4 linked regions of the Rhinolophus ferrumequinum genome follow. The protein of the gene in region 2 binds, or shares a complex with, the protein of the main gene of each other region. Links are inferred from orthologs where the notes say so. Each region holds a gene or a part of one and is shown on either strand. Other genes may lie near its edges. The genes, in order: EAF1, CDK9, CCNT1 and EAF2.

The links.
Region 1: CDK9 (region 2) and EAF1 share a complex: the UniProt entries of both Homo sapiens proteins name them as parts of the super elongation complex. The link is inferred for Rhinolophus ferrumequinum from reciprocal best matches to the Homo sapiens genes CDK9 and EAF1.
Region 3: the proteins of CDK9 (region 2) and CCNT1 are in contact, whole or in part, in a crystal structure (PDB 3BLH), measured with the Homo sapiens proteins. The link is inferred for Rhinolophus ferrumequinum from reciprocal best matches to the Homo sapiens genes CDK9 and CCNT1. Residues at the interface, in NP_001252.1 of Homo sapiens: Val8, Glu9, Cys10, Pro11, Phe12, Cys13, Lys56, Glu57, Gly58, Phe59, Ile61, Leu64, Ile67, Lys68, Gln71, Leu72, Leu81, Ile82, Glu83, Ile84, Arg86, Ile99; in NP_001231.2 of Homo sapiens: Arg5, Lys6, Arg11, Trp12, Arg26, Ile72, Gln73, Phe78, Phe89, Leu90, Lys93, Val94, Pro98, Lys99, Lys100, Leu101, Val134, Glu137, Ile139, Leu141, Gln142, Thr143, Gly145, Phe146, Glu147, Leu148, Thr149.
Region 4: CDK9 (region 2) and EAF2 share a complex: the UniProt entries of both Homo sapiens proteins name them as parts of the super elongation complex. The link is inferred for Rhinolophus ferrumequinum from reciprocal best matches to the Homo sapiens genes CDK9 and EAF2.

Annotation. Positions count from the first base shown.
Region 1 is NC_046300.1:31,205,278-31,212,985, forward strand, and holds the start of EAF1 (ELL-associated factor 1), read right to left. Parts: upstream 3,004-7,708; 5' UTR 2,989-3,003; coding exon 2,625-2,988; intron 707-2,624; coding exon 612-706; intron 1-611. Other genes in the region: tRNA N(3)-methylcytidine methyltransferase METTL6, read left to right, coding at 4,049-4,273, 4,989-5,123. UniProt on the Homo sapiens protein: Acts as a transcriptional transactivator of ELL and ELL2 elongation activities.
Region 2 is NC_046295.1:76,825,705-76,833,193, forward strand, and holds the start of CDK9 (cyclin-dependent kinase 9), read left to right. Parts: upstream 1-4,482; 5' UTR 4,483-4,484; coding exon 4,485-4,924; intron 4,925-5,378; coding exon 5,379-5,460; intron 5,461-6,225; coding exon 6,226-6,316; intron 6,317-6,663; coding exon 6,664-6,830; intron 6,831-6,940; coding exon 6,941-7,112; intron 7,113-7,270; coding exon 7,271-7,419; intron 7,420-7,489. Other genes in the region: SH2D3C (SH2 domain-containing protein 3C), read right to left, coding at 3,710-3,756. UniProt on the Homo sapiens protein: Protein kinase involved in the regulation of transcription.
Region 3 is NC_046293.1:49,873,146-49,880,288, forward strand, and holds the start of CCNT1 (cyclin-T1), read right to left. Parts: upstream 3,021-7,143; 5' UTR 2,811-3,020; coding exon 2,656-2,810; intron 711-2,655; exon of another isoform or gene 627-710; intron 458-626; exon of another isoform or gene 1-457. UniProt on the Homo sapiens protein: Regulatory subunit of the cyclin-dependent kinase pair (CDK9/cyclin-T1) complex, also called positive transcription elongation factor B (P-TEFb), which facilitates the transition from abortive to productive elongation by phosphorylating the CTD (C-terminal domain) of the large subunit of RNA polymerase II (RNA Pol II).
Region 4 is NC_046285.1:46,766,010-46,773,349, reverse strand, and holds the start of EAF2 (ELL-associated factor 2), read right to left. Parts: upstream 3,007-7,340; 5' UTR 2,931-3,006; coding exon 2,834-2,930; intron 1-2,833. UniProt on the Homo sapiens protein: Acts as a transcriptional transactivator of TCEA1 elongation activity. Acts as a transcriptional transactivator of ELL and ELL2 elongation activities. Potent inducer of apoptosis in prostatic and non-prostatic cell lines.

The sequences.
Region 1 (7,708 bases), on a different chromosome or scaffold from region 2:
TGCAATGAATGACACATGTTCGCTAAGAGAATTCTGTCTAATCCTTCGGGCTTTGTGATCAGAGTGCTGCCTTGGGCAAGGCTTTACAAAAGCCTCTCTCTGCAAAGGTTCTCAGTTCAGCTTTTAACTAAGTTCTGCATTGTTCAACTAGCTGAATGCTCTGAACCTCTGGTTCGTGCCTGAAATGATCGGCCTACACTTCACCCTCTGCCAGATATATGAAATAAGTAAATCCTACTCCTACCCGCCTTAACTTAACTCTTGGTTTGGCAGCCCCACTCTCCTAAATTGTCATTGCTATATATCAGCATGGCACCTAGGGCTTTTCTCTATGTCTAAAAGAGGGGCTAGGTGCCCAGGTAGGATCCTTGTCTACTTTGTAGCAAATGGGGGGAAAGGGAGTGTGGGGAAAATGGCAACAAGAATAATATTTAATCAAGCACCTGGGAAGCATGAATTCCACTCCAGGCTATACCCCAAATCTCCTTTTTCCTTCTGTTGGCACTTTAGAAAGTTTTAAACAGTAGGAAATTCAAATTGTAATAACATGAAATATGAGGATTCACAGTGATTCTACATTTAAAAAGACAACAACAATGGAATAAACTCACAGGGATATGTGGCAGCGTAATTGTGACTTCATCTCCTTTGCCAACCTGAAGCTCTCCTTCACAGGAAGTATCTATAGATGCTGGCTTAAAATCATCTAAAGGGAAAGGAAAAATAGCATTTATCCACCAGGTTACTTATACTAAGGACTTTCTGGGTGTGCTCATTTAAGAAATATTTTTTTTTATTACTCAGATAAATAGAAAGTACAAATAATTTAGAATATTAAAAAAAACCTATTTTACTGTGGAAAACTTCACAAAAGCAGAGACATTACAACGAAACTCGGTGTACCATCATCACCCAGCTTTAATAATTACCAACTCAGGGACAATCTTGTTTCATCTATACCCTGATATACTTTTCCTCCCAACCCCCAACTGGATTATTTTGAAGGGAAAAAAAATCTAGAATTTACATACCACTTTATTAAACAAAGATATTCCCTTCTCCCCAGTGACAGATGAAAATGAATGCTTATTATCCACAATAAAGTGTTTTGTTAGGGTTGTTGTGAGGCTCAAAAGCAACAGCATATTAATAAGATTCTGTGATTGTAAAACTCTACATGAAATGCCACAGCATCATATAAGCTGATGTCATTTTGCATAGGAACTGTCAAAATTAGGATGTGCCACACAAAGATACTCCTGCAGATGTTCAGAGTAGATGGTTGAACTGTCTCCACAGGTTAGTCCTGCCCATGTTTCTGAATTGCAGTTCAAGTACAACATGAATGGCCATCTTACTCCATCCATTGTAACACACACCTGCCTCAAAACGCAGGCCAGATGCATATGTGAAGTGTCTCATTTAAATTCTACATTGCCCTTCACTTTGCTAAAACATCAACTTAGTAAACTGCTCAGGAAATGAAGCTCTTATCACATTCCCAGTATCTTCCCTCTAAGAGAGCTGATGTTTCCAGTAGGAATCATCGTAATGGCAAGGCAGAGCCACCACACAAAGATGGAACATCATTATCTAACGCCCTCTTGCAATGTGTTGAGTCACATCTATTAGCTCCTTTGACAAAAACAAGTCTTAACCAGCGTTAGCACTACCGAGACAGGAAACCAGGAGTTGTGAATCACGGATGCTCCGTCAGCTCATAAAAGCCAATCTTCCCCCGGGACAGAGTAGACGTGCCCTTCCTTCCTCAACAGTCTATAATCCCGTAGAAAAAGGAAGGTCCAGCATTCATGGCGATTGCGATAGTCTGTGTGTCTACTCTCTTCGGCCTCCAGACATAGATCAAGCTTTAACTTATTCCAGGCTCACAAATGCTAATTTTATTCTTCATCCACAAGGGACCAGGGCCTGAGTTAAAGTCAGGGTCGTAGAAGTGACCTCAAAAGACATCAAAAGTCAAACGAGGTGCAGGAAGCTGTAAGAGGAACGCTCTGATGGGGCGCAGAGAGGATGTGGATTCTTTGGCTGCAAGAGGGGATGAAGCGCAGCCTGTCGGGGTGCCCCGAGTAAAGACGGACGAGGAAAGGAAGCTGAGGAAAAACAGGGAAGAAGAGAATGGAATAGAAGGGAGAGGATGAGGCTCCCGAGCAAACAGGAAGAGTCCTTTAAACGTGGAGAACCTGGGTGGGGGCATCAGAAGGGGCGGGGGATGGATTCGAGGGAGCACTGGAGTCCGATGTGGGGTCACACTCTTTCGGTAACAAAGAGGGTTTGGCAGGAAGGGTGGGTGGGGGCATGAAAAGAGAGAAGGGCCAATGGACTTCGGAACAAGTGTTTGGGACCTTGAGACACAAGAATAGTTGACAGTGACGAAGGGTCTGGTTTGGGAAGAGTAAGCTGGGGGCCAAAGGGGGGACATCGAGGTCCTGGAGGATCAAAAGGGGAAAATCGAGGTCCTGGAGGACCCGGGGTAGGAGAGAAGGGAGCTGACGTAGGCAGGGGCTTCTCTGTACAGTGGAGGGCCGAGGGAAGAGAGGAGGGATCCGAGGTTGGCACCGGGAGGCTGGGGAAGCCGAAGGGACACGTGGAGAGCGCTGACTTACAGCGAATGGTGTGGAAGGAGGCTCGCGGTCGCTTCTCGAAGCTCTCCCCCAGCCGCAGGCAGTGTTCCTCGCGGTCCAGCAGCGGGTTTACGGTCCCGTTCATGGCCCCACACGGGCCTCGCGCCCGGCCCGGCGCTACCCAAGTACGGCCGCGATCTGAGCTTCCGGCACCGGCGTCCGGGAGTACGGTGCTCCCGTGACACCGCTCCGGAGCGCACCGGGAATGCCGCCGGCGCCCACCCAGGGCCGGAAGCAAGTCTCCGCGTCGGGGTGGGGGAAGCCCCTGAGGAAGCAAGGCCTCGGGACTTCCGGCGTCGGGGAGGGACTTCTGGGTTCGTAGCGGAAGTGGCGGGGGCGGTGCCATAGCAATAGAATTCCGCCGGGAGTCTGAGCTGCTCAGCGCTGGTTAGTTCAGACGCGGGTTTGGCGCGGCGGCTCCCAAATTCTGCTTCCGAGGTAGGGGCCTGGCGGAGGGCTGAATGCGCCTGACACTAAGTACCCCTCCAGTTGAGTCTAGGAGCTGATGACAGTGCGCCCAGAGCGCCGCTGACTAGATTAACGCGCGTCTGATAGCTGGCCTGGCCAGCTCTCCTCAGGCCCTGGCGGCCGGGTCGGCCTGGTTTATCCCGAGTGTCCCGAGACAGATGACCCTACACCGCGCGTCACGCAGTCTCTTCCTTCCCTTCGCGCCGTGATGGCGGTGCGAAGGCCTGGAAAGCGACTCCCCCGCTGGTTTGAGGCAGTTTCTTGTGAGTGCGATCAGAGATTCAGGCCACCCGAACGTAGTAGTTCCATCTTCCCCGAAAAAAACTGCGTCTCCGATCCTTGGGAAACCATGACCCCCACTTCTGTCTGGCAGTTAACCACCCTCCTCCAGTTCAGGCACCTGTTGCGGTTGTAGAGTCACCCTTTTCAGAGGCGCACCGAAAATTAATGAGTATTTTCCCTCCAGGGTTTCCCAACGAGTTCTTGGCAGTATCCTTTTTCTAAACTAAACCGATTTATTATAATAGATGACTTAGTCTGGTTTGAATTAGTGTTCGGTGCAGGCGAGTCCAGGGCCAATGAACGTAAGTCCTCTGAAGGTAGGCGCTTTGTCTTGCTCTTCTTTGTGACCTCTCCTATAATGGGCAGGGTTTTGTGTAGAGTCAGCACTAGTAAACGTTTGGTATATTGAACTTTTGGGTGAAAGGAATGTTGTAGAACCACTAACTCAGTATCTTAAAGAACTGCTCTAAAATTACTAACCAAAATCTCATTCTTTTTCCTGCGAAGCAGAAATGCTCCCGGAGGCTTGAACCCAGCCTGAGGAACCACATCTAAGAAAACCCCGCCTGCAGCTGCAGATTCAGCTTGGATTCCTCAAATTATTCAGGGATGGAGCATCTTCAGCAGTGTTAACTCCATTACCATTTCCCCAAGAGATGGCATCTTTGCAAAGGGAAGGGCTTCAGGCAAGGATTCTCAGCTCTGAAGAAGAGGAGAAACTGAAAAGAGACCAAGTTTTAGTGTCTGACTTTAAACAGCAAAAACTGGAAAAAGAGGCTCAGAAGAACTGGGACCTTTTTTACAAAAGAAATAGTACGAATTTCTTCAAAGATAGACACTGGACCACCCGAGAGTTTCAGGAGCTCAGATCATGTAGGGAGGTAATGTTACACCTTATTTGAGCTGTTCTTCGTTTAAAATATGTAGAAGAGAAGTGCTTTCTTGCATTTTTATGGAAGTGTGAGGTAGAGAATTTATGAAGCCTGTCAGAATGCTTTGTACCTTAGAAATACTCTGTTTGGTCTCAAGTAGTTTTAGCAGTTCCTGGGTTGTATAATACGTAGGAGAAAGAACTTGAATGGGCATTTCTGTTTCTTTAAAGCTAATCTGAAAGTTGTAAATATTAAATTTATACAAAGTGACTTCAGTGACAGATTCAGATTCATTAATGATGATGATGATAAACACTTTACCATGACCCTTTTCTAGAACTTTTCATGTGTTTTGTAATTTAAGCCTTATAATAGAACTGTGAAGTAGGCATTAGTATTATCCCCTTATTGATAAAATTGAGGGAAAGGTTATTTAAGTGATTTGTCCAATGATAGAACACGGGTGAAGGAAGGAGTCTGGATTGAATGCAAGCAGTTTAACCCCTGAGCCTGTTCTCTTAGCCATTATCCTGTTTTCTCCACACCAAATTGCCCCATGTTGGATGACAAATTGAGATATCTGTATTAGCTTTTGGATATCAGTTTACTTGTTTATTGTCTGCTCCAGGAGGCAGAGACCTTTCATGTTCTGGACCTTTTAATTTGATTTGTTTCTTCATTATGCAAATATAGTGTCCTCTAACTTTGAGTTCTCTTTTCTCAGTTTGAAGGTCAGAAATTGACTATGCTTGAAGCTGGCTGTGGGGTTGGGAACTGTCTATTCCCGCTTTTAGAAGAAGATCTGAATATCTTTGCTTATGCCTGTGATTTTTCTCCAAGAGCAGTTGAATATGTCAAGGTTGGTGCACCATCCTGGTATTTTATGATTGTTTTGTTGGACTTGTTTGACCTGCCCTCTATACCCATTTGTCCAATTCCAGACCTCTCCCTGAAGCTAAGCAGCTGTGATCACCATAAACATGTTATAGTTTTCCTGTTTACATACATATATAACACATTATAGAAACAGCTTTATTCAGAAAAGTAGAAATACCATAATGACACTATATACTTATACCCAGATTTAATGATTTCCAGTATTTTTCCACATTTGTTTTATAGACTTTTTTCTTTCCTGAACCATTTTAAAGTAAATTACAGACACTTCACTGCTAAATATGCCTGCATACGTCTTCAATAAGGGTTTTCTCTAACTGACCACAAAATACTTACATCTAACAAAACTAATTGTAATCCCCTAATGCCATTAGTACTCAATTCAGATTTCCCCAAATAGTCCCAGGTATCTTTTATAGCTGTATTTAATCAAGATCTACTTACCCTTTATTGGCAGCATGCAGATATCTAGTTTTCCATCAGCCCTTCACATTTTTGGCATCCGTTAGACTTTTTAATAGTGCAGTCACATTGTACTGTAACTTAACTTTTCTCACTCTACATTATGTCTTGCAGTGTTTCCTCTTTGTATATATAGGTCTACTACATTTTATTTACCTGCTGCAGTATTCCGTAGAATGGATATATCATATTTTAACAATTACCCTGTTGATATTTATTTAAATTGTTTCTAACTTTCTGCTCTTATAAGTAAGGTTAACGTAATCACCATTGTGCACGTGCTCTACAAAACATGTGTACACGTGTCTCTATGGTGAATAATGGAAGAAATAGAATTCCTCGGAGAAAGAGTATACATATTTAAATTTTAATAGATAATGCCCAGTTTCCTTCCAGAATATTATACCAATTTATAATTTCACCAATAACATAAAGATAACTTTTTCTCTATGCCCTCAACATTTGATGTCAGTCTTTATTTCTCCCAATCTTATGGGCAAAATAAAATGTCTCCATATTTTAATTTGTTTATTTCTTATAACCAGTGAAGTTGAAGTCTTTATAATATGTAAATAAGCATTAGTTTGGGTTTTTTTCTGCTTGTGAGTTCCTTTATTCCACATATATTTATTGGGAGCCTAATGTGTGCCAATGAGTGTTGTAAGCACTGGGATTAAGTATAGTTTATTCAACATTGTTTTATGATATTGTTCTATGATAGGATTTAAATTATCAAATTTGAATTTATTAGTCTGTTCCTTTTGAGGTGCTAAGGTTTTATGTCTTGTTTAGGAGTTATATAATCACATATTCTTTTTATATTTATTAATTTGGAAAAATTTTTGTCATTATTTTTTCACATATTTCTTCAGCTCTATTCTCTCTTCCCCTAGGATTCCAATTACATGTATGTTATACCATTTGCTATTGTACCACAACTCTTGGATGTTGTTTTGCTTTTTTGTTTTTTTAAACTTCTTTTCTCTTTGTATTTTCAGTTTGTATAATTTCTGTTGCCCTGTCACCAAGTTCATTGATTCCTTCATAGGCAATAGGCATTCCTATTAATGAGCCTGTCAAAGCATTCTTCATTTCCGTTACTATGTTTTTGATTTTTTAGCATTTCCAGTTGATTCTTTTTGTAGTCTCTCTTTCTGTGCTGAAATTACCTATCTGATCTAGCATGTAGTCCACCTTTTTTATTTGAGCCTTTAACATATTAATCAGTTATTTTAAATGCCCAAACTTTTTAAATTCCATCGTTTGTGTCATATTTGAGTCTGGTTGTGATGATTGCTTTTTCCCTTCAGACTTTTTTTATTGTATTTTGGTATGCCGTGGTTTTTTTTTGTTGTTGTTGAGAGCTAGATATGTTATATAGGGCAGTTGATACTGAGGTAATAAGGATTTGTAATCTAGATAGTCGGGCTGTGTTTGAGGTCTGTTGTTGCTATAGTTAGCTGTGAGGTTTATTGCTGCTATGGGTACCACAGACTTCAGTCTCCTCTGGTGACTGTTTTTGTCTCTCCCCTTAGCTTTGGATCTTCCCCTTGGGCTCTTCCCCATAAAGAGTCTATCTCTTGGCAGCTTCTCCAGCTGCAGGCCACTATTATCACTGGAGACTTGTGGGAGAGTATGGGAGAAGGGATTGTTCTCTAATGTTCTGATTATCGGGTTTTGAACTGCATAGTCCGCCTGTGTCTCGGGGGTGTGGACTTCACAAGTATCTCTGCCTCTCCAGGAATAGTGCTTTTCTGTCCCATCCCTCCCCCGGCTTTAGGGAGATATCCACCAGTGTCCTCCTCTGTGGTCTTGAGGCCATTCTTCCTGCAGATAGGTTAAGACTAGGTCGGGGCAGAGTAGTTCCCTTCGCTTGTGGCAGTGGTATTCCACCAGTACCCTAAGGCTACAGGCCTCAAATGACCTTTCCCCTGCACGTTAAACCTTTTTTCCCTTGAAGTAGAAGACAAAGTCCAGCACCAGAAAGAACACCATCCTTTCTGTGACAGCCTGGTGATATTTCTGGTGGAAACCCCTGCAAAAGGTTGGGAGCATCCCTGTGACTTCAGCCCCCAGGAGCTTTAC
Region 2 (7,489 bases):
TACAACAGACCTGTGAAGCAAATCCTGCTATTGTCCCATTTCACAGATGAGGAAACTGAGGCTACAGAGGAACAGAGACTAGACAGACACCCAGGTGTCCTAGCTCCCAGGCTGGTGCCCCTCTCATCTCCAGGTTGTTGTTGGAAGAGGGAAAGGGGCCTGCGGCCTGGTGGTAGCTGCGGGTCTTCCTAGTGGGTCCCTGGCTTCTCTCCCAGGAGGCAGTCCCAGGGACTTGGCCCAACTGCTGAGGCTGTGGCATCAGCCAGCACCGACTTCCTGGCCAGGCTCACTCCCGACTTACTATGTGATCCTTCATAAGAGACTTTACTGCTCTGGGTCTGTTTCCTTATCTGTGAAATGGGTCACAGTAGCCCCCACTTCCGGAGGAATATGAAAGGAGCCTATGTACACTCTGGCCTCAGCAAGCCCTGGCAGTTGTTGCGGAAGAATAGGGGTGGTTCAGGCCAGGAAACCCCAGCATCAGGCACACGGCGTGAGCCCCGGGAATACCGGCCACAACGAGACTATATTGTGTGATGGAGGTGCCTTGTCAGCGCTGGGGGCCCTGCCATTGGCCCGGGTACCAGGGCAATTGCCACATCCCTGGGAGAATGAATGGGGCTCAGTGTGGAGGCTCTGCCCAGCTCAGAGCCCCCATTGTGCTGCCTCAAGTGGCCGTTAGGAGTGCGGCTGGGGGACCTGCTGGCGGTTGGCTGTCCCACAGGCCCTCCTCAGCCTGTGCTGGAGTCCAGCCCAGCCTTGCCCACGCTTGGCTCCGCAGCACTGAACACACAAGTGCTCTCCTGCCATCAGGCCTTTGCTTGGGCTGGACCCATACCTGGAGCGCAGCTCTTCCTTCCACCGGCTCCATCTTTTGCCTCCGTTGAGTCCCTCAAGTCTAGATTCAGCTACAGTGCCCCCAGGAACCCTGCTGTGATTTCTGTCCCCTCTCCTTGCCCTCTTCCCCAGTCTAAACTCAGTTGCCTGCAGTTGGGCCAGGCACCTATTAGGGACTGGAAGCCTTCAACTTCGTCGTCAAAGACTCAGGCAAACCTGAGTTCAGACCCCACCTGCATGATCTTGGGCAAGTCACATCAGCTCTCTGAGCTTCATTTTCCCCATCAGTAAAATGGGACAAATACCACATCTTCACACGATCCTGTGGCAATGAAATAAAACATTTATATGAGAGTATCATCCCTATTACGTTCTCCTGTGTCTTTCTTTGCATCTTCCAAACAGACCTTGTGCTCTGAGAGGAAGCAGCCTTACGCATCCACGTTGGCCCCACGCCTGCTGTACTGTGGGACTCAGTTGATGCCTCTCCCCAGCTTGCCCACTTGTCTGGTATTGGGGGCAGTGTAGGATAGTGATAAATGACCCCAGCCTTTGAGAGCAGAGGGACCTGGCTTTGAATTCCAGCTCCATAGCTTCCTGGCTGTGTGGCCTTGGGCACACTCTGAGCCTCAGTTTCTTTTTCTGTAACTTGGGCCTGATACTAGCAACCTCCTAATAGGGGTGCTGTAAAGTTCTAGGGGGACAACATATCAATACAGGTCCTGGCAGAGTCAGTACCCGTCTAGTGGGGACAGAATGTCCATGGTGTTACAGGGCTCTAGGTATCACACAGCCATTCTCTGTACCCCCCATTCAGGGATCCCTTGTCTCCTCAGACTTACCAGCAGCCAAGAGCACCCACCCCATGGGCCCATCTTCCTCATCCCTCCATACCCTCTCCACCCTGTCCCTGCTTGGGGGAGAAAATAAGAGGGTCCAGGCCAGTGGCTCCTTTTCCCATCCTGTGCCTCAGTTTCCCTGACTGTTAAATGGCAGCAGGACCACAGGCTCTCTCACAGCCTTGTAGTCAGTCAGCAAACATTTATTGAGTACTGGCCACACGTCCGGCCTGGCTAGCTTAGCCAATCCAGGGAAGCAGGAAGCATTTCCCTCAAAAGAGCGAATCAGAAATCCAAGTCAGTGAGAAATTGTTTCTGGCTCGCGCTTCATTTCTTCTCCCTTCCACCTGGGCAGCCTGGGCAGCTTTCTGACCACTCCTGCCTGCCCTCTTTCCCCAGGGAAGGCTGGAGACACAAGGCGCAGAGGGGAAGTGAAGTGACTGGTGAAATGTTGGGGTACAGGTCAAAGACAGTAGGGTGGAGGTGATGACACCACCGGAACTTCTGCTGAGGCTTCTGCCCACAGGATGTGACTTAGGGAGTATTCATGGGAAGTGGGCAGGGGCCCCGGTCTGAGAGACTGATGGTGGCACCCACACAAACCCATGATAGACCCCAATGCTGATATCCCCTCCTCCAGCTCCCATCAGCATCCAGGGCACTCATCCAGTGGTGCTGTGCCATGCCTGTGCTCCACCCCCCGTCCAGGTAGGTGGGGTCCTGACATGGGTACGTGCTGGGGCTTTGTGCCAGACTGGCCTGGCTCAAAATGCCAGTGTGGCCATTGGCCAGCTGTTTTACCCTGGCCAGGTGATGTCACCTCTGAGTTTCAGTGTCCTTATGTGTATAATGGAGGTGATAATAGTACTCAACTTATATGGCTGAGTGAGACTTGAGATAATACCCATAAAGTGCTAAGTGTACGGCTTGGACCATTTATTTTCCTTCAATAAATTGTAATTATCACAATTATTTTCTCCCTCCTTGCCCTCAGCACTCCCACTTTAGCCAATGGCCTCCCTGCTTCTAAGTGTACCCATGAAGCTGATCCCAGATCACTCCCTGGTATGTCACTCGACTACCTAAAACCCTCCTCGCCGGCTCCACACTGCCCTCAGGAGAGGGAGGGCTCCCTGCTCCTCACCGGACCCACAAGGCCCTCCCTGGCAGAGCCCTTGTCCAGAACAGGGCCTCTTGGGACACCATAATCAGCAGACCCACTCCTGCCTCCTCCTACAAGGAGGCTACAAGGCTAAGCATGTGGAGTAAGAGCTGGAGAGTTTCATGCAGATAGAGAGGTTCTGGGGTGCAATCAGGAAGCACAGCCCTAAAGACAGGAAGGCCTGGGGAGTTAGGAAACACAGGAGATTCGTGTGGCCTAGGAGGCGAGCTGGAAAGAACCTCAAATGTCACAATTTTTTTTCTTTAAGGGAGTGGAGGGAAATACCTGCAGACTCTATTTCAGAATGCTCTGGTGGGTACTGTGAGGGAGACAGATGGAGAAGCCGGACTGGGGAGGCCAGGACTCAAGATCCATGGGCAATGGAATGGAGAGGGGCAGATCGAAGGGGTACAGAGGAGGTAAAAGACAGCTTTTCTGGGGGTTGGTTGTTGAGTGGAGCTGGAGGAAGAATCGGGAGGCCCCCTGGAGCCAGGAAGATATCAGAAAGATGCTGGAGAAGGGCTGAGGCAGGGGAAGGGGGAATACGGCCAGGGAGGGAGACACTGGGTGAATGGCAGGCTTGGTGCCTGGCGTAAGGACAGCAGGCCTCAAACAGCACCACTGCTGTAGTCCTGGCCAGGACAGCCTGAGTCAGGAGAATCCCCTTCAGGCAGACCAGGTTCGAGTCCCAGCTTTGTCATTGTGTGACCTTGGGCAAATGACCTCACTTCTCTGAGCCTCAATGTCCTTTTCTGTAAAATGGGTTAGTGATCCTTACTATGACGCTGTTGATTCAGGATTCAGAGGAAACGCCCAGTACTTCCTGAGTACACAGAGGTACTGAGTAAATGCTATTTTTGTGATTACTGACCCAAGGCTCGCGCAGCTCGGCTGGGGCGGGGGTCCTCTAGGTTTCATCCCTGCCTCCCAGAGAACAGGGTCCAGCGCTAGAAGGCCCGGGCATTGCTTATTCGCCGCCTCCAGTGTTGCCGCGCCCCCTGGTGGCCGTCGGTTACCATGTCAACGGCGGGTGGCTGGGGCCCCGGGAGGCGGTGGCGGGGGCCGTTCTCTCCTCCCGGACCTTAGGCCGCTCCCTCGCTGCCTCCCGCCAGTGAGGGGGGGGGAATAGGCGCTCCCCGCGGCAGCTGGCATGTGGCGGTAAACTGAGGCACACGGCGAGGCGCCCCTCAGCCAGGTGTCGAGTGCGGGGCCCCACCTCCGAAGGCGTAGGAGGGGCCGCGGGCTGTGACGCGCCGAGGGCGGCCGGCGGACAGCCGGCGGGAGGCGGCGGCAGCGGCGGCGGCAGGTGCGGCCGCGGAGGACGGGAGGGCGGAGGGAGGGGGCGGGCGGAGGGGGAGGGGAGGGCGAGGCCCGGGCACCTCCCCCTTTATAACGCGCCCCCTCCCGGGCTCTCGGGCCGCCTCCTCGTCGGCTCTTCCCGTCTCGCCCCCTCGCCCGGCCGCCCCGGGCCCGGGCCCGGCCAGGGAGCCCCCCAGGCCGCGGCTTGGGGGCCGTCCCCCCGCCCGCCACCCCGCGCAGCCCGGCGGAGGCGGCGCCGTCGGAGGAGGAGGAGCAGGGCACTGCGGCTGGCCCGGGATCGGGCGCCAGAGCGGCAGCGGCTTCGGCAGCAGCGGCGGCCCGGGCCAATGCAGCGGGACGCACCGCCCCGAGCCCCAGCCCCGGCGCCCCGGCTCCCCGCGCCCCCAATCGGGGCCGCCGCCAGCAGTGGCGGCGGCGGAGGTGGGGGCAGCGGTGGCGGCGGAGGCGCCTCTGCAGCTCCGGTTCCTCCTGGCCTCCCGGGAACTACAAGTCCCAGGGGGCCTGGCGGCGGGCGGCGGGCGGAAGAGGCGGGGTCGGCGCCTCGAGGCCGGAAGTGGCCGTGGAGGCGGAAGTGGCGCGGCCGCGGAGGGGCCTGGAGCACGGCGGCGGGACCCGGAGCGGGAGCAGCGGCGGCGGCGGCGGCTGGGGGTGGCGGCGGCGCGCTAGAGGCGGCCATGGCAAAGCAGTACGACTCGGTGGAGTGCCCCTTTTGTGATGAGGTGACCAAATATGAGAAGCTCGCTAAGATCGGCCAAGGCACCTTTGGGTAAGGATGGGCCCCGAGGGACCCGGTGCCCTGGGCCTGCACCCCTCAGGGCCGACGTCGGGACGCCCGGGGCTGGGCCAGAGGTGGTCGGGGAGCCACTTGGCCCTAGAGTTATTCCCTGGTCTCGCTAGGCCGCACTGCAGTCCGCCGGGGCCTGATGGAGCTGGCTGGCGGGGAGGAGCCTGAGGCCCATGGTGGGGAACGGGCAGGAATTGCAGAGGAGCTTGTGAGGGGAGCAGGATCTCTCCGAGAGACGTCAGGCTGAGGAGAAGAGACTGGGGAGGAAGTAGAGGTTGGGAGAGGGACCGCAGATAGTAGGGTAGCCCACTGCCCTAGGTACCAGGCTCAGCCCTACACGGGAGTCTCTTTTCTGCCCTCCTCCTCTGGAGGGGGAGGGGCGAGCCATGTGAAAACGGCCTGATGAATCTTTTTGGGTCCCCCTTTCGGCCTGCAGGGAGGTGTTTAAGGCAAAGCACCGCTTGACCGGCCAAAAAGTGGCTCTGAAGAAGGTACTGATGGAGAACGAGAAGGAGGGGGTGAGTATGGGTCGGGTGGGCTAGCTGGCCAGCCATCTCCCCGGGGCATGTGGGTTTCCATCCTGCTGCTTCTAGGACTCACGTGTTGAAATTTAGTTTATGTGTAGTAGCTCGAGAATTTCCATAGCCCAGGAAATTTGACTTCCAAATTAAATCTTTCAGTTCAAATATTTTAAAGCATTTGGTATTTCATTCTTAGGCAAATACAAGGTTGGGGCCAGGAGGGGGAGCTCATGCTTGCACTGAATGCACTTGGGCTTGTGAAGTTGGAAAGCCTTTGTTAAAACACTTCCCTTAGAATTTAATTTTGTTCAGTGCAAAAGGAAAATACATGCAATGGCTTTAAAAGGGTGACTAGTACTCAACTGAAAAGGAGTCCCTCTCCCACCACATCTTAGCTCTAGTCCAGCTTTCAGAGATGTGCTTGTTAGCAAGGAACTTGAATGGTCATTTGTGTTACTACCCAGCAAGTTAAACACAGGCACAGAGCTAAAATTTAAAGGTTGAAGAAATTAGGGAGCGTTTAGTGACCAATAATGAAGTGGTTAAGTATCACTATTTCAATTCATTGTCTGAAAGCATCTTCTTGAGGAGTGCATACTACTTTACACCCATTTTACAGATAAGGCATCTGAGATAGCTGATTTCAGAGCCTGTGATCTTACTGTGTCTTCCCAACCTGTTCCCGTTAGTATAGACCCCATGGCCAGTTCCTTGATCTGCAGTGCGCTTTCACTTTTGACCTCCTTTCTTTATTCCACCCAGTTCCCCATTACCGCCCTGCGGGAAATCAAGATCCTGCAGCTTCTAAAACATGAGAATGTGGTCAACTTGATTGAGATCTGTCGAACCAAAGGTAAGTTGTTTGAATCTTGTTCCCATTTTCAAATGGAGAAAATGAGGCTTAGAACTTAAGGCTTTGTTTGCAAAGTTGGAACTGGACACACTTTTAACCCAGGCATACCTACCAACTGTGACTGCTTTCTCTGGTCCTTTCATCGTAGCTGGTGCTTTCCCAGGGTCCGCCACAGCACCTGGCCCAGAGGACTCACTCGGGAAATACTTTACCAGTGAAGGAACCCACAGATGGATTCTGGGTGTCAGTGGGTTGGAGGGGGGTAGGAGCTGGTTGTGGGAAAATGAGTGGTATATGGGATTTTTTATTTTCTTCTTCTTGCTCCTTCCCCATTCTTCCCACCTCAGCTTCCCCCTATAACCGCTGCAAAGGCAGTATATACCTGGTGTTTGACTTCTGCGAGCATGACCTTGCTGGGCTGCTGAGCAACGTCTTAGTCAAGTTCACACTGTCTGAGATCAAGAGGGTCATGCAGATGTTGCTCAATGGCCTCTACTACATCCACAGGAACAAGGTGGGGGAGGAGAGACCGAGGCTTGGTCTGCCTGTACTCCCACCGCTGGGTGGCGGGGCTAAAGGACCCTTGGGAACCTGACTGAGCCCTCACCTTTGCCCTTCTTGCAGATCCTGCACAGGGACATGAAGGCAGCTAACGTGCTCATCACCCGAGACGGGGTCCTGAAACTGGCAGACTTTGGACTGGCCCGGGCCTTCAGTCTCGCCAAGAACAGTCAGCCTAACCGCTATACTAACCGTGTGGTGACGCTCTGGTACCGGCCCCCAGAGCTGTTGCTCGGTGAGGACTCCCGAGTGGGCAGAAGGGGGCAGGGGCTAGGCACTTAACCTGGCCTCAGCCCCCCACTGCCAGGGCTTCTTGAGCCGCCGGCCCCCGGGCATTGCGTCTCAGGAGGCCCTCGGGCTCAAGGGGCACTCCTGGTGCACTCTTCTTCCCAGGGGAGCGGGACTACGGCCCCCCCATTGACCTGTGGGGTGCTGGGTGCATCATGGCGGAGATGTGGACCCGCAGCCCTATCATGCAGGGCAACACGGAGCAGCATCAGCTCGCCCTCATCAGCCAGCTCTGTGGCTCCATCACCCCTGAGGTGGGTGGCCAGGCTGCCTGGGCCTCTGGGCCCTGCAGGATGCAGAAGTCTCCCTGGCAGGGGAGGAGTG
Region 3 (7,143 bases), on a different chromosome or scaffold from region 2:
CTTTGACTTGACACCAAGAATTTCCTACAAAGGGAAAAGATATCTAACATGTCATGTCATTGACAACTGTACGCTGGTTTCAGACGAATGTCGAAAAAAGTTACCGCAACTCAAGGAAAAATATTACGCTATTGAAATTGATCTGTTCTTACCATAGAAGAGTAGTACCCTTATATGGTAGAATGGTACATTAAATCACATGGTTTGCTTGTCAAACAGGTTTTACCAAACCCTGAAGAAGTTATGGCAGAATCTGATGCTATGCTCAAGAATGATATGAGAATTTCTCTGATAAGCTCCAACACAGTATCCCTGTGTTCATTACTTTTGGCTGGTATCAGTGATGCACTAGATTATCTGTCAAGCTGATGTTTACTATCCAAATGTCTAAGTAGCGTCCAACTTTGTGGATTTTGATGACAATGGGTTGCCCAAAGGATTTACAGAACTAATTCATGTATTTAGCAAACATGATGGTACCTTGAAGAACACAGAACATTCCAGTCAACTAAAAGACAACAGTAACATAATTCTGCTTGGGAGACTCCCAAGGAGACTTAAGAATGGCAAACTTGAACACATTCTGAAAATTGGGTATTTAAATGGCAGAGCGGATGACCTTTTAGAAAATTAGATGGACTCACGACATTATTCTAGTAAAAGATGCATCACTGGAGGTGGCCAACTCTAACTTACAGAAGATTCTGTAAACAGGTCTTCACGACCTGTCCTCTGGGGTGCAACTGATGCAAGAGTTGCTCATCTGTTCACCTTGGTGAAAAACTTTTATTTATAATGTTCTTGCTCTTGAAGTTTTTCCTGTACATTACTGAAGTATTTTCAGACATGTTGAATCCATGAACTTCTTGCTCCTTTTTCTCCACCTCTCTAAACACACCATATTTTTTATCACTAAAAAAAGAATCTTAAAGTCAAAAATTGAAAACAACTTCCTACGTTTCCAGAGTGTATTCTGTAGTTTAATGTTATCATTAAGTTTTTGAGGAGTCTTTTTATACTAGGAAAGTTTGTTGAAGTTTAAAAATAATGTTTATGAAATGGTGAAATAATGTGCATGATTTTAAGTATTGCTATTATTGTAATTTGGGTGAATTATGCTGATGGTATCACCATCTACTGAAATTGTATTACGTTGGTTATTTTGTTTTGGGAAAATTGATAGTTACCAGAAAAATACTGACACTTGGTGTTTGAAAAAACTGTTGGTAACCACGTCATTAATCATTATAAAATATTCTCTATTCCAGCACTGATAATAAACATGAAATGAAGAACAAAAACAAAAAATGCTCGGAGGGGGAAGAATCACCAAATTATGAGGTGTGATCAAAAGATACAGCGAATGTTTAAATTAAAAAAATGTACTACAGTAAAAGACACATTGCCATGAATCCCCCTCAAAACACTCCCCCTCACTTTGAACACACTTATCCCATTGTTCTTGCCACTTTCTGAAGCAGTTCTGGAAGTCCTCTTTCGTGGGTGTCTTTATTTCATCCTCCATTATGACAATGCTCCATGTCACACATCACTTATGGTATGGCAATTTCTGTCAAATAAAAACATTATGGTGTGTCTTCATCCATCTTATTCACTGAATCTGGCACCGTGTGACTTCTGGCTCTTCCCCAAAGTCAAAATGACCATGAAAAAAAACAAAAAACATTTTAAATCGACTCAGGACATCGAGGCAGCCACGACAGTGCAACTACAGACACTCAGGAAAGAGGACTTTCAGAACTGTAAATGGCAAGAACGATGGGATAAGTGTCCAAAGCGAGGGAGAGTATTTTGAGGGCGATTAATGGCAATGTGTCTTTTACTGTAATACATTTTTTTTAAACATTCACCATATTTTTTTATCACACCTCCTACCTCACCTTTGAAATGAGAAAAACGAATACATTAGCATTCTGAGTATTTTAAAAACCCAGTATTTTGCAACAGTTTTTCAAACCAGTAGATCTGTAGGCCTACATCCCTAAAATCTAAACTGACATTCCTCCTTCCTCTGAAAGTCTGTAAACCTCTAACAGTAGCTACTACTTGAACTTGAGTGCCAAGCAGTGTGTTGGGCATAGAAATTAAACTCAAGAGGTATCACTTAAAGATGAGAAAACCAAGAATTCGACAGGTTTCTTAAACAGTAAGTGGGAAGAACGGATTTTGAACCAAAGCTGGACATTAATTCTAGGCCACCCTTCGTAAGACCTTCAGATACTGAATTTCTCAAAACTCTTTGCACACGCTAAGTTCAAGAGGCAACTATCAACGATGAAACCTCCAGCAGACACCTAGGGCATCAGAGAAAAGCAGAATTTCAAAGTCACCAGCACAGGAGATCAGAGCACACTGAAAACGGTCTAAGAAGGGCCAGTTAAAACACAAAGCCTGGAAGGATACGAATTCCCGGAAAGGCTGGTGGCCCCGGTGAGCGAGCGGGAAATTAACTCCGCCTCGCCACCCTCGCGCGGACACTGTGAACTTCAGCCCGCCCCATCGTAGGCTCTCTCACCTAGACATCTAGCCCCTGCCCCCCCTCTTCCCCCTACCATCCTTAACAGAACCTGAGTCCTGGAGGCGAGGGCAAAGCGGGACTGACTCCAAAGCCAAAGGCCTAGGCCGCAAGGATACACGTAAAGACGTTGCCCCATGTCCTGAAGCAGATTGGCCGCCTGCTGACGATAAGAAAGCTCTTTATCTGCGTCTAGACCAAAACGACGGGATGGGCTATTTTCCAGCTGTTCTCGAGTAAAATACCACCGTTTGTTCTTCCTCTCTTCCTCCATAGTGCTTCAACCAGAAAGCAGCGGCGGAGGCTGCAAGCACTTTCCAGCGTCACTTAAGCGGCGACACACATCCGCTGTGCGGCGGCAACTGCGCCGTGACGAACTTCCGCTAAAGGTGGACGGCTAGGTTGTGACATGCTTCCGCCGAGGGGTATAGTTGAAGGGTCTACTTCCGGAAGGAACCTCGCGACAGCTTGTAGTCGAGTAAACAGCCAGTCAGCGACCAGGAAAGACCTTGGGTCGAGGACGCAGGCGCCAGTCATGTGACCCTTGGGAGGCAGGGTGAGGTTGGAAGTTCTCGTTCAAAACCACGTCTCCTCTCGCGTGAACTGGGTTGAGCGTTCGCGCCTTGGGTTAGTGGGTGAGGCAATGTTGGTGGCGGCTTGAGGCGCCCGCCCACGCGCCGCGCCGCGGCTCCTCCGAGAATTTCGTTTTTGGCGGAGGGGGCGATCTAAAATGGGGCAGCGGAGAACTTGACAGGAGAAAATAGGTGAGACTCAAAAACTGAAAAAAGTAATCAAAGAGAGGGGCCCTATCGTGTAGCGTAATGTAAAGCAACTAGAAGGCTCTCACATTGTTGGTAGTCAGGTAAATGACGCATATGAAAAGCCGGTATGTAGCTAAAGCCTGGAGAGCATTTTTGGCTTCGCCACAGTGGTCCAATGAAGGAATAAAATGAAATGAATAGTATTAACTTAGTGCTTACCGTGTTCCAGGCGCAATACTGGCTCTTAAACATACGATCGCATTTAATCGGCGCAACCTCAAGAGGTAGTAATGTTTTAATCCCTGTTTGCGAACGGGTGAGCTAAAACCGCTCCTTCGGTGTGGAAAGCTTGCACACCACGCTGCACCATCATGCACACGCACAATTTTGTAAGTTCCTGTCCTCTGTCAGGATGTAGCGCAGTCCCAACGCTTGATGGCTGTGTGATCCTGCGCAAGACTTCTCTGTGCCTCTTGTACAATGTAAATGATAATAGTACCTATGTCTTAGATTGTGGGAAGGATTTTAAATGATTTGAGTTAAAAGTATATCATAGTAACTTGCACATAGAAAACATTTAGTAGATGTTATAGTAGTTACTACATTATATTAATGTTGAGAACAAGGACAGTGCCTCCTTCATTTTTGTATCCTTGGCACCTGCCTAGTACAGGCCTGGCCCTACTAATTAATAAATGTGAAATGCTCAAAATACCCTACAATAAAGAAATTGAGGCTCAGAGAAATTAAGTAGTTTGCCCTACATGCACAGCTTATAAGTGTAGATTTTAAAAACAAGTCTAATTTTATTCTTTCTAGTCCAGCAAACTATATTCTTTTCTGGAACACTCAATTTACCTTGATTAAATATGGGTCATAGAATCATTTGTTTTTTTATAATACGTTGAGTGTCATCATTTCTAGATATGGGTGCCTCCACACAGTAAGTTTGATTATAATTCATTCTCAGAAGCATTTCCTTCCATTTCAGGCCCTCCTCTGCCATATACTGCCTACAGATAGCCTAAGCTCCATTTTAGTCTAGAAAAATTGAGATTCAGGAAGGTGTAAATTACTCACATCAAGTTATAACATTAAAAAAAAGTATGACTTCAAACTTCTTCCATCAGACTTTTTTCTTTTAATAAACATTTTTTACAGTTATGTAGTCATGTGTGTTATCTTTTAAAAGCCAAAATTATTTCTCCTAGATCCGCTCTTGCCTGTCTCCCTGACCTGTGTTTGGTTCTCCACGTAATCTCTTGGATTGATAACTGCATTTTGAATTTGCTATCCAAGCTCAGTCTGCCAGTCTTCCAAGAAAAAGTTGTCGCGTCTGTAAGGCTTCAGGCACTGCATCTGCAAACCATTGGCTTGTTACCCTGCCATACAGAAGAGGAGGACCTGTGTAAATCAGAGAAAGGAAAGGTTCTTTGAAGATGAAATTATTTGAAAGTAGTGATAACAGCAGTGATAAAATAATTGCTAAACATGAGTTTTTGAGTCAGGGCTGGATTCAAATCCCATCTATTTTTCTTTAACCATCTTAACCATTTATAAGTGTACAATTCAGTAGTATCAACTATATTCACAGTATTATGCAACAGGTCTTTACAACTTTTTCATTTTACAAAACAAACTGTGTGCCCACTGAACAAGTCCCCATTTCCCCCTCCCCCAGCCCTGACAACCCCATTCCACTTTCTGTTCCCACAAGTTAGACTACTTTAGATACTTCATATAAGTGGAATCATGCAGTATTTGTCTTTCTTTGACCAGCTTATTTCACTTAGTATAATATCCTCAAAATTCCCAGATATTCTTTTTTTTTTTTTATAATTTCATAAACAGGTTACAGTATTTTTTTTTTTTTATTAGTTTCAGGTGCGCTCCCAGATATTCTTTTAACTAGCTGTGTGACCTTAAATGTCATGTCTGCGTCCTGACAGAACACCCATCTGGCACATAGTAGGTGTTCAGTACATGTTTATTGTCAATGCTAACCTTCTGGCACATTGCCTTAAGGAACAGTTGACAAAACCTTAAACCAGAGGAATTTTTTTGTTGTTAGTTTATATAGGACTCCATTTTCTGTAAATCACACCTATAAAGCTATTCTTCCTATTCCCTAGACTAATCTAATACAAGGTTATACTATATTTCATGGTTTGATCTTATTTTGTGTGTCATATTTCAGTCATGTTAAACGTTACCATTTACTACTGTTAAAACAATTTCTCCCTACATTCCTATAGTCTCCAAATTAAAATACGAAAAAAGATGGTGTGCTATTCCTAACTATCCCCAACTCCACATTCAGTGATGTCATGTTGATATCTTGAAATTGACCATGGTGTGTGTGTTTTTGCCAAACTCAAATCAAGAACCAACCTATGATTGCATTTGACAAACGAGTATAGCTTTGACTGTTGGTTGACATTTTCTTTTGCATTAATAAGATGAAAGTAAAACAATGAGACTTATATTGGAACTTATTTAAGAGTGACTTGAGCAACATCTTTGCTGAATTGGATAATAGTTTTTGAACACTGGAAGAATATTTCAATCTTTTGTGCCATTGATAATGTAATGGCTACACACCATACACTTTTAAGCTTAATCTACATAATTAACTTCTCTATCACTTCCTTAATTCTAGACAATCAATAAAACAAGTCAAGCCTTTGTCTATAGCATTTGCCAGTTTCTATAGTACTATCTCCCAAACCAATTTCAAGCTACCAATGCGACTGTCACTGATCATGAAATTGAGAAGAGATGAACACACCATCACATACTATTTCCTCCATACAGATACAATTGACAGGGACTTCTGGTTTCCAGTTTGACATGTAAACAGGTTGGAAGTCATCACTCCTGTTCTCACAACCAAGGGAAAAAAAGCTGAACAAACTGAAAATCAACAACCCTTCCTAGATTCATCAGAGAATTGAGGTGACAGGGCAAACTGCTACCACAAAAACCGGAGCAACAGGCAGAACAGAATCATGGCTTACTGGGGAGCAAAAAATACTGGAACCAGCCCTTGATAGGGATACTTAAAGGGCAATAAACTAATCGCTAGAAACTGAAATTGGACTAGACTGAGAGATTAAAAACACTTCTGGGGACCTAGACTTAAGAGGTCCCCCACATTTTTGTGAGTTTTACCTGCAGGAGCACCACAGGTCTTACTATAAAGATTAAAGAAAAATCTCAACCTTCTGGCAGGTAAAGGGGAAAGGTAGCCATTGTAAAATAAACCCAGAGCATTCAGTTCTCAACAAAGGCCTGCCCTCAAGGAAAACTAAAAGCCTAACCAGTGTGAGAAAAAAACAACCAACTCCAGCTGCGAACTTTGTTTAACCTAAGGGGGGAAAAAAGACAAATATTTGTGAAGGTCACACAGTCCAGGGAAACAAGCTCACTGAAAGACACAGACCTAATAGGATTGCAGAACACTTTCCCCCATTTTACCATCACATCAGTAGGCCTATGTAATAATGGGATTACATCTGAAAGAACTGCAAGCTCAGAGTATTTAAGAAGGAATTTCTAGAGAAACCCAAAGATAAGGACATCAGAGGAAATTTTAGTCTCTGACACCTACAGCTATAGCAAACTAGAAACAGCCTAACTCCCAGCCAGATAAAGATAAACCTCAGTTGCTTTTACCTAGTATATCATGTCTGACTTTCTAAAAAAAATTTACAAAGCATGCTAAAAGGCAAAAAATACAGTCTAAAGAAACAAAGCAAGCATCAGAACCAGACTCACATGTGGCAGAAGTTTTAGAATTATCAAACTGGGAATTTAAAATAACTGATATGCTAAGGACTCTAATGG
Region 4 (7,340 bases), on a different chromosome or scaffold from region 2:
AACACCAAAGCTTAACAACCGTTTTTTGGGGGGAGTGGCTGCACTTGATGCCTCAGACCATCTCCGTATAGTTAATGCCCATGAACTCATCATTTTGTGACAGCAAAAAGTGGTATCATTTACAAAATTTAGAAATTTCAATGTTTATTCCCTTATCTGGATATAAATTGTAAAACTAGTACTAGCCCAAATCCAAAATTTATTCGGTGAGTCCTGTTACTCAAACTCTTCTACCCAGTGAAACATCTGCTGCAAAGCATTTAGCTTATCATTTACAGAACATCCCATGTCTTCCTTACCACATGCAGATTATTTTTTTGATAGGTTTTATTGCTAAGGCCTGATAAATGCTTTTGAAAGTCTTAGTAAATTACATTAATTGGCATTCCTAATAGACACATGAATAAACCTTCAAGAATAATGGTTCCTACTATTTATTTTCTGCCATGCACCAAATAATGTGCTAGGTTGTTTATGCTACTTTATTTAATCCTTAAAAGACCCTGAAATTTAGATATTAATATTATCATTTTACATATTAAAAAACCCGAGGCTGAGGGCTTAGAGAATGTTCCCAAAGTTACATTACATGTATAGTAGAGGCCAGAACTCACAAGTTTTTCCAAAGCCTCAGCATATTGGACTGGTATAATTACCCCTGTACATAAAGACAGAATGTTCCTTTCTCCCAGATTACACTGACGTTTATGCACCTGCTCTGTATCAAAGTCAGATCTCCCATTCTATAGTTTCTTTCCCTCACTGCATCCTTAAGAGTGAGGATATGAGAAATGAACCTATTATCAAGAATAATGGCTGGTTTTGTTTAAATAAATCTAAAAAGAGTTTGCCTGCTTCAACAAGAATAAAACTAAGGGCTGAAAACTGTTCTAATGTCTTCCACAGGACTAAGAGTATATTCAAAGATCTGGGTTTATTGTGGTTGTTATTGTTTTATTTTTGTTTATTTTCATTCTTGTAGATGGATCATCTGATTCTGAAGACACAATTCCTGCATTTTGAGAACTTTTATAAATGAAAAGCTCTAAAGCACCTGCAAAGTGCTTTTCAAAGGCTCCTTTTATTCACTTAATTTGGGGTTCATGGCCTTAAAGAGAGTATATACCCAAGTTACATAAAAACATATTTTGAGCAAATTTTTATAATCTTAAACCTTGTAATTTGAAAAATTAAGACTACTGCATACCTGATTAAAAAAAAAAAAAGAAAGAGGAGAGGAGATAATATTTGAGAGAAAGGCAGGGAGAAACCAGCTAAGAACTATAATACACTTTTATAAAATGGGACTGAAGAAGGAAAGAAACTGCATAGCCAGCACTAGGTATCTCACTATGGGGAGCTTTGGACAACAGAGTAGAGAGAAAAAGAATAATCAAGGGTCACTGTTTAAGATCTTCTGCTTGCAAATATCTCCTCCATTTATTCTATCAATTGGATATTAATTTTGCTTAATAAATCCCTTTATAAAATGTAAATACAGAGGGTGCCAAAAAATGTATACACATTTTAAGAAAGGAAAACTATTAAAATTGTAATACTTTATACTGATAACAAAAGATGAATACAAGTCACGTGTGACTTCTGCAATTACAAGAGGTGCTCAAAGTGGTTACCATCACCATCCAGTCACTTCTGATTATGGCGAAGTTCTGCTTGAGCAACGTTGAACAACTTGTCCACTTGTATAAATTTTTTTGGAACCTCTGGGACATCCTTGGAATGTTAGAAATCTATTGGTTCTTCATACCTTTACTGTGAGTTACTATAATTAGATTGTCTAGAACTTAAGTAAACTTTTGGGGGTTGTAAGTTTCAGTTGACGCATGGAATACTTCAGGATAAAACAATAAAGACCTGTATACGGTCTGAGGACAGAATAACTGTAAGAAAAGTGGAATGATGAGACACTAAGGAAGGGCAGAACTGGTGAAAGAAAGTGAAAAAATACTTACTTTACTAATTTTGCCATAGAAAAAATAGGTTATGATTCAATGATCTCAAAGTTTCCTTTCCACTCTATAATTTTATGAGGGCTATCATGCAAAGAATGAATGTTTTACATACCAAATCATAATATGCTATACTTTTCCTTCCTGTAGTGTATACCATCCAACCATTAAAGCAAAAGACCTCCCTTTTCTACCTCAACAACATAAAAGTGCATAATTTATCAAAACTCATTCCAGAGGACGACCAAAAGGAAATCAAAGGGAGAAATCATAGGGAGGTAAATATCTTTCCAATAAGGAAATCAATAACACACCCTCCAATACTTTGATAATCAATATTTGCTAATTTACTGAGTGAAATCAGGGGTCCAAAAGAGATACAGATTATTGAAATAGTTTAGAATCTCTCCCTAGGAACGCGCTAAGTAAGAACCCTCATTAGCCAGACACAGAAAAAGTGAAGGAGACACTATTTCCCCATCAGCCTCAAGGCATTTCCTTTCCCCTGCATAACGGCTCCGTCCTTTGCTCCCTTCCATTTGGCACCTTACTATTTTCCTTTCCACCTCTGCATCATCCATCAGTTACTACTGTCTTCAGTCACCCTTGGAGATCTCCACAAAGTTTCCCTTTCTTCCTGCTGGTTTCACTTATATCTCTCTGTCAGGGTTTTACCCACACCTGCTCAACTCCGGCTTTTTCCATCGACCCCCTAGGACTCCAGGTCCGGTAGTGGATCGCGCTGGGGACCCTATTCTCCCGCAGAATAAGGTGGGTCGATGGGAATACAACTCGGAGACTTTTGTGCCTCCACACACCCACACCCAGAGCTCCCCCTTTTCCACCGGGATGTCCACACTCACAGCGCACAGTGTGGAAGGCGCAGCGCGGTTGCTTCTCAAAACTGGCGCCTAACTTGAGAACCCGCTCGCGACTGTCGATATGCCAGGGTCCATTCATGGTTATCCTTCGGCTCCGATTTCGCCTCCGACTCTTCCTCCGTCAACTAGCGCTCCCTACCTTCTGCCACCTCAGCCTAAACCAGCTGCATTAGCAGCAGCGGGCGGAGCTACGACAGACTCCGCCCCGCCGCCCAACGCGCGCTCCCCCACCGGGCGCCTCTCGCGTGCTGATTGGCTGGCTGGAGAAGGACGCCCCGCCCCTTGGCTCCGAGCTCGTGGTCCCGCCTCCACGCCCCTTCCCGCGTTGCGACGCTGGCCGCGGGGAGAACGCCGCGCAACTGAGGTGCGTGGTGGGAGAAGGGTTCCTTGGTGGAGGAACGCTGTGCGAGAATGAGGTAACGGACCTGAGGTGGTGGCTGGGGACTGAGACGGCCTCGAGGTACCAAGAGGCCGGGATCCCGCACCTCTGGGCCAAGTGACCTGGAATGTAGGAGCTCTTACCGGGAGAATCGGCCTACTTCACGCTTTCTGTGGAGATCTAGTGTGGAAACTGAGGCCGGGGGAGGAGCGGATTCTGGGTCCAAGGCCTGGTAGCGCCAAAGCTGGGCCTAGAATCCGGAGTACAGGAGCCCCGCGGCCTCAGAGCCTGGGTCTTTGGACCTGCCTGGAAGGTGACGCCGTTACCTAGGCAATCGTTTTCAGACCTGTTCTAGGGGAAGTTCCAGGTACTATTAGGACCGACAAGGTCAGGGCACGTGGAGGGTGGGGCAAAAAAGATTAGAAGTTACGAACTTCACATGTTTAGGATCAGTTGCAACTAGATTGCATTGTGTTGTCTTATTTCTTTCTTTCACAGTGATCCGTGGAAGCAGTAACTACACGGCCAGAAGACCAGATTCCCAAAGTATCAAGGCCGGAGCTCGTGCTCTGGAAAACAGGGTAATAGTATTAGTAATTGAAAAATAATTGTATTTTTTTCCTGTCAAAAATTCATGAGTTTAATGGTAAAGATGAGAGAAGTGTTGTATCAGAGGACAGTCACTCTAAAGGAAGTTTACAAATGGTTACCATAACGGGTGGTTGTTTTTCAGCATAATTATGTAATCAAACTCTTCTCCCTTACTGAACTTCTACTTTAGCCAAACTTACCAATTTATTCCAGGCAGGTAGATGAATGTGTCTCCCGTAACCTGCTTGTTCAAATTCGACCCTTTTAAGGCGTACTAAGGGTGTTTCATGGGGCAGTTAAGCGCTCAGATTCTGGAGCAAGAATCTTTGGGTTTGAACTCCCGCTTCATATTTTATAGTATGACATTGTGCAAACCAAAGTTAAGTATGCTCATCAGTTGTAATTGGAAGGGAAATAATAATAGTACTTACACCTTAGAGTCGTTGAATTAAATGAGTTAATACATAAAAGCATTTAAAACAATTCATGGCATATAATAAAAGCTCTCCAAATGGTTATTATTCTTGAGTTTTAACTCTACTGTCATGCAACATTTTAGGACCATCCTTGGTGCCTGCCTTTTATTCTAAATCTTGAATTATTCTATTATCTAGGAAGTAGGAATTGCTTTTTTGTTTACTTTACAGATGAGAAAACTGGTTCAAGGAAGCCCAATCCTCTGACTCTATGGTCTGTAGTCTTAACTTCTGTGTCATCTATTTGGCCTAACATATTTTGTATAATTAAGTATTTTATTTTACATATACATATTTGTGTGTGTGTATACTTTTCCTTCCCAACCAGACCATTAACAGGGAGTGTGTCCTATATAAAATCTTTGTGACCATTGCATCTACCATAGTGCTCCACACATGTTTGGTGATGATAATAATGTTTCAGTGATGTTTTATTGTGGTACCCAGAAGGCAAGGACAATGTTTTAAGCCTATTTTACCTAAACAAGGCTTCCTACCAGAAATCTGTGGTTTACATTTTATAACAAGAAGAAGAGCAGAAGGTCAAGAAATTGAGTTTAGGAATACCCAAAGTTTGTACATTTATTCATTTTTTTCAACATATATTTATTAAGTACCTACCTACCGTATGCAGGCACTAGTCTAGCCTATGGGGATATAGCAGTGAACCAGAGAGAAGAAGGCAGCCATCAAGGGTAGTCTGAGTTTCGCCTTCATGAAGCTTACCTTTTAGTGTGAACTTTTTCAAACATGTATTAAAATGTGTACTAGCCTAGGAATAAGCAAATAGATTAATGAACTAAATAGAATCCAAAAATATACCCAGGTGGCACTTCAGATTGCTTCTGTTATATCTATTCATCATTAATTACCTCAGGAATTTATGACAGCTATGTGCATTTGTTCTTTTTTCACTAATCTATAACCTCATCTAACTTAAAAATTTTAGATTCCTATCTTACACCATTCACAAAAATATCTTACAAGTGTATTGAAGACATAAATAAAGATATAAGTTAAATAAGATATAAATAAAACAGAACCATAAAACACTAGGAAAAATTAGGAGAATAAATTTTAGCTCTTGAGGTAAGTAGGACCTTTCTAAGCATGACACCAATGGCAGAAGCCATAGAGGGGAAGATTGTTATACTTGCCTACATAAAAATTGTAAAACTATGGTGTAGGCACCATAATCAAACTTTGAAAAATAAATGGCAGACAAGAAGAAAGTGGCTTACAGTCAATATAAAAGATAAAGTGTTCTTAAAGCTTCTGCAAAAGAATAAGACAAGTCAATAGAAAAGTAGTTGAGGGATACAAACAGAAGATACATAAAAGAAGAAATAGCAGTGGATATGAAATGTGCCTAACCTTCCTAATAAATGAATACAGATTTAAAAAGATAATACCATTTTTCATCTAGCAAATTGGCAAAAATATAAAAGATAATGATGTATTAGTAAAGGTATAGTAAGTGAGCACCCTTGTACATTATCGGTGGAAGTATAAATCGGGACACCCATTTTGAAGAAAAATTTGGGATCATATCAAAATTTAAAAAATATGTATCTTGCAACCCAGCCATCCACCTTTCAGGAAAATTGATCCTACAGAGTACTAGCATGTGTGCATAAGGACATTTTACATTGCTGTTCGTTGCATCATTGTTTATCATAGCATACACTCTGAATAACTTACAATAGAGAGGATGTTTACATATACAGTAGTCTCCCCTTATCGATGGGGGATGTATTCCAAGACCCTCCATGTATGCCTGCAACCATAGATAGTGCTGAACCCTAAATAGGTATACTATATTTTTTCCTATACATACATACCTATGATAAAGTTTAATGTATAAATTAAGTACAATAAGAGATTAACAATAACTAATAATAAAATAGAACAATTATAACAATGTATTGTAATGTTATATGAATGTGGTCTCTCAAAACATTTTACTGTACTGTACTCATCTTTTCACTTAAAGGAAGCACTTTACAGCTTCTCTTGGACATATCTCAATTGGCCAACATCACCACTCTTGTGCTTTGGGGCCATTATTAAGTAAAATAAAGGTTACTTGAACACAAGCACTGCAGTACCATGCCGGTCAATCTAATCACTGAATAGGCTACTAGTAAGTGACTGACGGGCAGGAAGCATGGAGACTCTGGACAAAAGGGATGATTACATCCAGAGCAAGAGGGAGAGGGACAGTATAAGAATTCATTATGCTACTCAGAATGGTGTTGCAACTTAAAAATTATGAATTGTTTATTTCTGGAATTTTCTATTTAATATTTTTGGAACATGGTTGACTGTGGGTAACTGAAACCATGGAAGGTGAAACTGCGGATAAGGAAGGGGGGACTACTGTGTTTTGACGTACTCTTACAAAGGAAGCATTGCATAATGCAGCCATCGGAAAGAATAAAATACCTCTGTAGCTACACCTTTGGAAAGTTTTATCTCTGCTGTGTGCCAGGATGTGCTGGGATTTCTTTAAAATATTTCCAGATTTTTTTTTTTTAATGATTTGTATTTTACCTAATAAGGGATGCTTTTTGGATGTCTTTTATTATGGCCAACTTTTCAATATAAAGGATGGGAAGTTACGAAGAATAATAGTTAAAAAAGTGAGTTAGAAGTAGGTAATTTTGGAATATGTTTTGTGGTTTTTATGTTTTACATGGGAAGGAATATTAGGAACATTGTAATTAAAACCACAGACTTTGGAGTTAGACTGATCTGGATTTGAATGCTGACTCTACCACATCATGGTGGAACCATGTCCAGTTTAAATTCTTCAAGCTTGATTTTTCTCATCTGTAAAATGGAGATGATTACAGGCTCTACCTTGTAGTCCTGTTGTGAAGATTAAATATGGTAATGCTTATAAAAGTACTTAGCACAGTGCTTAGTTCATAGTAAACACTTAATATATGTTAGCTTTTGTTAATTATTACTAAGTAAAGAGTATACTTTTTTAAAAATATGATATCTTTGATCTTTGAATACCTTAAAACTTTTTTATAAA